2 linked regions of the Drosophila melanogaster genome follow. The gene in region 1 interacts genetically with each later gene. Each region holds a gene or a part of one and is shown on either strand. Other genes may lie near its edges.

The links.
Region 2: of PRL-1 (region 1) and Gr21a, changing one suppresses a phenotype caused by changing the other (phenotypic suppression), as found in Drosophila melanogaster (one study listed by BioGRID).

What each region holds. Positions count from the first base shown.
Region 1 is NT_033779.5:16,254,296-16,259,129, reverse strand, and holds the start of PRL-1 (PRL-1 phosphatase), read left to right. Parts: upstream 1-1,523; 5' UTR 1,524-2,054; intron 2,055-2,974; exon of another isoform or gene 2,975-3,080; intron 3,081-4,834. Other genes in the region: EndoGI (endonuclease G inhibitor), read right to left, coding at 1-881, 951-1,016. UniProt on the Drosophila melanogaster protein: Probable phosphatase. Inhibits growth possibly by negatively regulating Src64B-induced growth. Regulates central nervous system circuit formation and stabilization of synapse-dense terminal arbors.
Region 2 is NT_033779.5:778,675-783,655, forward strand, and holds Gr21a (gustatory receptor 21a), read left to right. Parts: upstream 1-1,807; 5' UTR 1,808-2,622; coding exon 2,623-3,374; intron 3,375-3,449; coding exon 3,450-3,507; intron 3,508-3,563; coding exon 3,564-3,767; intron 3,768-3,820; coding exon 3,821-4,150; 3' UTR 4,151-4,211; downstream 4,212-4,981. Other genes in the region: CG13947 (uncharacterized protein), read left to right, coding at 530-889. UniProt on the Drosophila melanogaster protein: Gustatory and odorant receptor which mediates acceptance or avoidance behavior, depending on its substrates. Gr21a and Gr63a together are sufficient for carbon dioxide detection and avoidance behavior.

The sequences.
Region 1 (4,834 bases):
ATCTTGTCGCGCCAAAAGTCGAGAAGCTCTTTGGTGAGAACCTCATCCCTCAGATTGAAAATCCAACTGTTGTAGTCGTCGGGCCCATAGAAACCAGCATCACCCTTGTACTCCTGCAGCAGCTCGGCGGCCTTGTTTTGATCCTCCGCTGAGGGTGTGCCATCGAAGAGCAGCTTCCAGATTATCTCCCTGGCGGCTGCCGCTATCTTCTTCACGCTGGCCTGGTGAACGCTGTCCGGAACGATGATTTTGGTCAGAACAAAGCGCTTCATTAGAGTTCGGTATTCCTCGAGCGGATTTTCCTTGGTCAGGGTGGCCTCAAATTCGCCAGACAGAGCGGCGGCATCATCGGCACTCAGTTCACCCGGAGTTGTAGGCGTCGCTGGCCCATCCTGATCCAGCGAAGCCTGCTCCTCGAGTGCTGCGCGCACCTTTAAGCTGGCTGCAAATGGAGCGGTACAACCGGCATGGGCATAGAACTCCAATGGCGGGGTGTCGTCGCTGTCAAAGAGATCACTGTCGCGTGACCAACAGGGACCGAGTTGCTTCTTCACCAGCACATCGCGCCAAAAGTCGAGGAGTTCCTTCTTTAGAACCTCATCCCTCAGCTTGACAATCCATTCGTTGTACGGCGTCGGGTCGTAGAAGCAGGCGTCACCACGGTATTCCTCCAGCAATTGGCTGGCCTTCTCTGTGTTCGATTGCGAGGTACCGGCCTCGTCGAATAACAGCCGCCAGATGACGTCACGCGCCGCTGCAGCCGTTCGATCGAAATTCTCCTTGGTGACATCATCATCCACGATTTCGTCTACCTGCACGCGTGTTTCGATAAGCTTTTGGTAATCCTTAACGGGATCCACCAGGCCAATGGTGTAATCGTTCTGTCCAGACAATAGTTGTTATTGTTTGTAAACTATTTTTGTTTATTTTCTATGGCTGTTGCTTATTACCTGTGCTACTTTCTCGGCCGTTGCCATTTTGTCGGATTGTGTGTCCTCGGCCTTGCGCTTGGACATTCCCCTCTGGATAAATTGGCGATTTAAGGTTCTTCGAAGTAAAGCGTTTAAAATCGTTGGGCTATTGATCGTCACTTCTGTCGGAAAGAGATAAGATGACTAATTCAGATCGCCGCTTGCTGTTGCGATACTACGAATGTAAATAGTAGGGTAGTTCTTTTCAATAGAGAATAATTTTAATTGGAATATTCTCGGAAGGACAGACCAAGAATCAAAATAAGACGACTTATTGGATGAATAAGAAAAGAAAGTATGTGACATATTGAAAATATTATATATTTTATGTCGGTTTATAAATAAATATATATGTATATATATTGTACAACTTCCTTTAAAATCACATCTTACATTTAAAATAAAAAAAACTGTTTTTAAAAGACAATTGCAAAATAGGTAATTAAATTATTACAAAAAAGTATCGATTCTGCCCGCAATCGATGTTTATCTAACACTTAATTGCACTCGATACTATCGGCTCTATCGAGTGTTCGAGATTATCGAATATAATCACCATCCGTGTCTACCAACACAAACGAGCGAATTGTTCGCAACGCCTACTTCGATTACAAGTACTTTGCTCTTGGAAATCGGTAGAAAAAATTGTGCAATCCGTGCTGGAAACTACAGATATTATTTTCGCCCGATTAATTCATGTCAAATTGATAGATTCATCTTATACCATTGGTTCCGCCCCGTGCTGACTGTGTTTGTGTGTGTGTGTGCGTGACAGACACAAAGAAATTTGAGGTTAAGCTGCAGATGAATTTTGCGTTAATGTCGCTGAAAAACCAAAGTTTAACAATCCTATTCAATAAAAAACACTTAAGCTAAAGATACAATCAATTTACAGTTGCAATAAGAGCAATAGTTGTGTCGTAAAAGGCAACACACACCAGCCAATTGCATTCGTGGAATTCGTGTCGGTGAGAGTCTCGCGGTGCGTCTGTGTGTGCGTGTGGACGTGAATTCAATTTTCTCGTGCACGAAAAGCAACGAAAAAGCTTCAAAAGTTATACTCAAATGTGTATGGCAATTGTGGTAAGTGCGGCAGGGGATCGGCTACAGCCGCAAGTTTTTAAATAATACATTTTTGTTGCATAAATTGTTTCGAACGTCAACGAACACTCGCACAACTACTGAGCCACAAAGTATGTGTGCTTGTGTGCGTGCGTTGGCATTTACATTCAATTTTTTTCGTTTAAACAATTTCTAACTGGATTTTGTTTGTTTTATTCGAAAAATAGTCTTAAAAAACATGTTGGCATTAGAAATAGTTTCTGGAATTTGTTTAAATTTTTTTTTAGTATATATCAACCAGTTACATTTTTATTTGTCTGTGCAAAAACTATAAACAATTGTCATCTTGTAAAACTAGAATATGTTATAAACTAATTGTGTTTACGTTTTTTATAAATATGAATGTGAACTTTTTAAATGTATTCTTCTCAAAATACCAACAAATCTGTGTAATTGCTATGAATAATATTCTTTTCTTCGCAATCAAATTAATCGAATTGCAAATTCTGCTGTGCTTGCATAAAAAACGTTAAGGAAAGTAATGTAATGTCCCATTTGTTATCATACACAACAATCATATACTTCAATAAATGGGTAACTTCACGCATTTTACTTTCATTCGACCCAGTTACCTGGTTAACTGCCTTCGCCAGTTGAAAATAAATGTCAGCTGACCCAGTTTTACCATCCGAACGGAACTAGGACGGGACCAAAACTATTTTGCACTGCACCAGTTAAAGTTTATTTCTCTTATTTTTTTTGGCAGTTTTTATCATCTTCATACGTCATTTGCTAGGTACATACACGTAGATTCTAATCTAATATCTAATCTGTTGAAGACATTTCGAGCAGATTTATATCATATCAAAGCGGCAGAGCAAACAGTAAACAAAAGACATGGCCGAGAGAAATTGTTTTTTTTAGAACAAAACAGCCAAATCAGTTGGCATTTTATACTGAACAAATGTGGACGGAGCAAAGTTGTAGTGCAAAAAGATTGCCTTCGTTCATAGCTTTCAATTTTACAATCAGTTGTTACTCAACAAGGTTTGGCTGTGATTTGCTGTTATCTCGAATTTTCGCATTTTTTCCACCTGTGTTTATCTTGATCGCACTGTTTGCTAATCGATATCAGCAAATTGCGTCAATTGGTATTGAAAGCGGTATAAGCGGTATAGAAATGGAACCTGGCAACTGAAACTGTCCCATACGCACCAAAGGAATATCAATTATACGCCAACCGGTGGTTGAAAATCCCAACGATATCCATTTTTTAACCGGTTCTCTTGTCAGATTTCTTGTGCTCTCTCCCTTTTATTTCCGTTTGGGGTCTCTTGTCCTTGAACAAGTTCAATGATAGTGCCCCGGCCACGGCAATACAAACAAAAGAAAGAAAAGAATCTCTTTCGGTTTCATTCTCTCTTTTTATTTATCCGTGATAAAAAAGAGCGAGCAGATAAGCGTATCAGCCAAGGGAAGAATTTTAAAATCCGGTTTGACTTTATCAAAAATATACCGAACAAACTCATACGAAAAGACGTCATAACTTGAACGCATCGATTACAAAACTCGATTAATTTGGTAGGGTTCCTTTCAATCATACAGATATACATTTTTCAAGATTGAATACCTATCTATCTAGCATTGCATTAAATTCCATTTTCTTATCAAGAGTACTACTACATGTATCTCAACTCAGTGTAGAGATTACGTATACGCTTCTTGGTTATTTTGTATTCCAGCTGTTTGTATTTTGTTGTCTGGGTTTATCTGCTTTCCGCCAGTTCTAAAATATTCCATATTCCCACGCACACAATCGAATCGAAAGCCAATTGAATTCCTCGAAATGTGTGGCAATACTTTCGTTCATTGAAATGCTTCCAGCAAATTTGTTTGAGGTCATTTTGATTTAGTGCAATTTATTGGATCTTTCTGAACATCTTCAACATCTTCTTAATTTTTGTTGTTGTGCGATAAATTTGCTTACTCGACAATTACCGAAATTAAACTTATTTAAAATTTACAACTTTCACTGCTCCGTGATCTGTAACCAAATCTATAAATGTGTCAAGTTGTAATTATAGAAATTCTCAAAATTAATTGAATGTAGATAAATGTATATTTCACGGTCTTTTGAGGTCATACTCGTACAGTAGCGGCAGCTTAAATTCTACAGCCAGCTAATTAAATACACTCGCACATTAGTTAGGAAGAAGTCAAGAACTCGCTAATTAGAAATATCGAAGTAGCATGAGAGTTGCGAACTTTCAGACTACTTTTCGCGGTTATATATCATTGTGCTGTATTATTTTTTTTTTTTTTTTTACTGCTGTCACGTTTTGGCCGCTTGTGTGCAGAATTTCACCAATACATGTCATATCCAAAAATAGACCAAAAAGCGAACAACAAAGCATGCAATACGATTTACAAACGTCAGTGGAGGGTGGAGGGTGGTAGATTGGTGGAAAATGGGAGGGGAAAATGTCACCGACCACCCCCGGATTCTATATATAGTGCGCGATAAATGCGGCGCTGTTTGTCCTCAATAGTTTTGGCCTGCCCTTGGTTAAGGTACACAGTACCCAAAACTAACCAGGAAAATGGCACTTTTTTGTTGATGTACTATGCATGTATGTACGTAATCCTTGTCTGTAAATCAACCTTGAAGGACCTGCAATTTGTGGCAGGAGAAGGCATGCATTCGATAATTGCAATAACGAGACAAGATTGCTTATTTATTTTTGTTTTGGTTGCATTTTATCAAAACAAAACAACAACAGCTGTTTTCCGATTAAAAGTCG
Region 2 (4,981 bases), about 15 Mb from region 1:
ATTTTCCCCGACCAATGCAAATTAAATTAACATTTATTTATTGGTCCTGCATTTGAAGGACCCATGCAAACTCATAAATCGCATCCGCTGCTGGTCGAACTGATGAATTAGCCGCAAGCCCAATGGAATCGAATCAGAAGGCGACAACTCCATTAGCTATAAAAACCACCCAAACCACGTTCTATGGTGATAAATAGTCGACTGGACAAACACTTTGTGTTTGCCAACACAAGCACAAACGCAGACAAGAGCGACGACGGCAGTATTGAAATCGAATCAACAGCAGCTGGTCTGTGACGCTGGGGAAAAACAGATATTCATTCATCTATCCATCTAGCGTTTGGAACAGCTCAAGTCTCTTTGTCCGGCTCCGGTTTTACCAAATTACACCTGACGTTTATTTGATCGGCGACGACGTCACCGAAAACCATCTGGTAACGAAGTCGGTGGAACTGGCGAGGTGAGAGTATAAAAGGCTTGTGGAACTGGTGAATAGGTATCAAACACCAGTTCCACGGACAGATATAAGATGCGTTCCTTCATCATCATCGCCCTCTTCGCACTGATTGCCGTGGCTGCCGCTCAAGGTGGACCCCAGGGCGGACCTCAGGGTGGACCTCAGGGTGGACCTCAAGGTGGACCACAGGGCGGACCCCAGGGTGGACCTCAAGGTGGACCCCAGGGTGGTCCTCAGGGAGGACCCCAGGGTGGACCGCAGGGAGGACCCCAGGGTGGTCCTGGTGGACCCGGTGGACCCGGGGGACCGTGGGGACTGCCTCCAAATGCCACTCTTCCCAGCAACAGCACTACCACCACCACCACTTCAACGACCACCGAATCCAGCACCAGCACAACCACGGAAGCCAGCACCGAGTCATCCCCTGCTTAAGGCGCAGGACTCCAGCCAATCTAAAATCCATTTTTGGCTTGTTCTCTTCCGCGCTTTCCTCGATATTAATAAAAGTCTTTTCTGCAAAAAGTAAATCTTTCTCACATTTTCTCAGCACCATTTCGCACAAGATACTTGCATTACGTCTACAGAGAGAAATCGTTTGATTCAAGGGGAAAAAGCAGTATTAAATTAATAGTGCGATCAAATTGAGTCTAAAGTGTTTTGTGTTGAACACCCTTTTTGCTGTAACAGCACATAAATTAAGTATTTGTGGGATCGAAAATTTTACTAGTGTAATAAAGCATTCAGATAAAGTGGGATTTCCTGTCAGTGCAGCCCCGTGATGGATGGCAGACCAAGGCGATGGTGGAAGGGCAGAGGGAGGAATGCAAGCCACGGGATTCGGAAATCGAAATGTAACTTGTTCGCCGAGGCCGCCTGGTGGCTGACAGCCGGCGGCCATGAGAGATTCGCTCGGCTGCTGTGACACTTGGAATAGGCACGTCCTTCGAAAGGGACGCGGCAGCAACAAGAGCCCACAAATCCTAGGATGCGCTGCATCAGTTCTTTAAGCCGCATCCTGGTGGATGAAGCCAGCCCGTTTTAAATGGACCATGCAGTCGCCCTCTCAAGTTGGGTGCAATTATGTGACATGGCGCACACACTTCGTGGGCATAAAAAACCAGCTAAACACTTTATTTATGCACTTCCCCTTGTCGTTTGTCTTGAAAGTTTTCGCATTAAAAGAGCTGAGTTTGCCAAACTGTGTGCAATGAAAATGAGTTTCGCTGCCAAAACAGGGAAAACTCTGGCCAAAAAGCAGGGTCGAACTCGCAACAGTTGGCTGCGAGTCCCCCGAAAGCTGTGAAACTCTTTAAATATGCCTCGCAAATTCCAAACATTCTTCGGGGAAGATTTGTAGCTCGCTTATCCCGGTGGAGTTGCATGAGGGGATTGGCAGTCCAGAACGGCTGTCATTGCCATGGATTTCCTGTCCACTCTCGCCTGGCTTTAAGCGCCTTAAGAGCCATTAATGCCGGGCCTTTTGGTATCTGAGGCAGAAATAGATCAAAAGTCAGACCCACACACACGACGGACCAGATGAACTGGGACAGGGTCAAGGATTGGGACAAAGGCGAAGATGGCGATGGCGATGGAGCTGGCAGTCCGTCCCGTTGGTGGCACATTTTTATTGGTCATTAGTGCGAGCCTCTATCGGCATTCGTAAGCATTTACACATCGTTAAACTTTCATTTCCGGCAAATTAAGCGCATTTTATGTACCTTCTCCGTTCGGTCGCCCTCAGCTGCCCACCGCCTCCTCCTCCTCCTCCTCCTCATCCTACCCTGCTGTTTGGGGTCACCCGTTGGTCGGTGTCAGCAGAATGACCACAACAAGCGGACACTGAGAGAAAATCAGAGGCCGTGTGAATACACAAAATGAACACAGCTTTTGATTAGCACTATATAATCTTGCTAGAATGGGAAGGTTTAAAACCATGTTTGCAATGCATTCCCTACCATTTTTTCTGAGTGCAGGAAAGCTGCCCGACTAGGCTCGTGCTGATGTCCCGGACTTAAGCATATTTAATGGAGGGCAAGCAAATGGGCGCCGCCCCGGGCGTGTCCCTTTCATTGTTTGTCTTTCAATCGAAAGTCAATAGCAAGGCTGCGTGGAGGAGTATAAAAGGTCCGTCATTGGGAAGCCGTATGACTTTCCTCGATCGCACGATGTCGTTTTGGGCAGTGAGTCGTGGCCTAACGCCGCCTTCGAAGGTAGTGCCGATGCTGAATCCCAACCAACGCCAGTTTCTGGAGGACGAGGTGCGCTATCGGGAGAAACTGAAGCTGATGGCTCGGGGTGATGCCATGGAGGAGGTGTACGTGCGCAAGCAGGAAACTGTTGACGATCCGCTGGAACTGGACAAGCACGATTCCTTCTACCAGACCACCAAGAGCCTCCTCGTGCTTTTCCAGATAATGGGCGTAATGCCCATTCACCGCAATCCGCCCGAGAAGAACCTGCCTAGAACGGGCTACTCCTGGGGCTCCAAGCAGGTCATGTGGGCCATCTTCATCTACAGCTGCCAGACGACCATTGTTGTTCTGGTGCTGCGTGAGCGCGTGAAAAAATTCGTCACCAGCCCGGACAAGCGCTTCGATGAGGCCATCTACAATGTCATTTTCATCAGTCTGCTCTTCACCAACTTTCTGCTCCCGGTGGCCAGCTGGCGGCACGGTCCCCAGGTGGCTATCTTCAAGAACATGTGGACCAACTACCAGTATAAGTTCTTCAAAACTACCGGCTCGCCGATCGTCTTTCCGAATCTCTACCCACTCACCTGGTCGCTGTGCGTCTTCTCCTGGCTCCTAAGCATCGCCATCAACCTGTCGCAGTACTTCCTGCAGCCGGACTTCCGGCTGTGGTACACATTCGCCTACTACCCCATCATCGCCATGCTCAACTGCTTCTGCAGCTTGTGGTGAGTAGCTGTCCTATGGCAAAAACAAATGAAAAATCCCCACAAAGACAATACTTCCTTTCTGAAATCCGAAAGGTACATCAACTGCAATGCATTCGGAACTGCAAGTCGCGCTCTTTCCGACGCTCTGCAGGTAAAATAACATATTATCAGTGCTCAATTACAAAATTACTAAACTGAAACATCCAGACAACCATCCGGGGCGAGAAGCCCGCCCAAAAACTCACTGAGTACCGCCATCTATGGGTGGATCTGAGCCACATGATGCAGCAGCTGGGACGAGCTTACTCCAACATGTACGGCATGTACTGTCTAGTCATCTTCTTCACAACGATCATCGCCACTTACGGCAGCATCAGCGAAATCATCGACCACGGGGCAACCTACAAGGAGGTGCGATTGCTTGCCACGCAGGGAATAACTCATATTGATTAGGACATTTCCAGGTGGGTCTGTTCGTCATCGTGTTCTACTGCATGGGTCTGCTGTACATTATCTGCAACGAGGCGCACTACGCCTCCCGAAAGGTCGGACTTGACTTCCAGACGAAGCTGCTCAATATCAACCTGACTGCCGTGGACGCTGCCACCCAGAAGGAAGTGGAGATGCTGCTTGTGGCCATAAACAAGAACCCGCCCATCATGAATCTGGACGGGTATGCAAACATCAACCGCGAGCTGATCACGACCAACATCTCGTTCATGGCCACCTACCTCGTGGTCCTGCTGCAGTTTAAGATCACGGAGCAGAGACGCATTGGTCAGCAGCAGGCCTAGTTTCCTATAAAATGATTCTCGCCAAGCTGGGCCAAATATAATATGCTTTCGGTTTCAATGTATATCGAGATTAATAGGATTTTTCTTAGATTTTGCCTCAAATTTGTCCCATCACCAAACTTTATACAGTTTTAAGTCGCTAATGGCCTAAACTAACCACCCAAAACACTTTTTGAATGATATAAAAAAATTTTTTTTTAACAAATTTTGAAATTTTGGAAAGGGGTAACATCATGATTTTTGGCGAAAAATGGAAAAAAATACAATTTCTAAGTTGGAATGCAGTTCGATTGGAAAGTTTATTACGAATTCAACAAGGCATATCACTTTTTTCTCCGATCATTTTTTGGAATGTTATGCGAAAAATAATGACTTTTCTATGACAAAAAGTTAGTATTAGCTTAAGTGCCACATTTTCATTGCAATCATTTTTCGAAACTAGGCTTAAAATTGTCTCACAACCAAAATTCTTACTGTTTTGAATAGCTATTGACCTAAACTAACCACCCAAAAAACTTTTTGAATGATATCAAAAAAAAATTTTTTTACCAATTTTTGAAATTTTGGAAAGGGGTAACATCATGATTTTTGGCGAAAAATTGAAAAAAATACAATTTCTAAGTTGGAATGCAGTTCGATTGGAAATTTTATTACAAATTCAACAAGGCATATCACTTTTTTCTCCGATCATTTTTTGGAATGTTATGCGAAAAATAATGACTTTTCTATGACAAAAAGTTAGTATTAGCTTAAGTGCCACATTTTCATTGCAATCATTTTTCGAAACTAGGCTTAAAATTGTCTCACAACCAAAATTCTTACTGTTTTGAA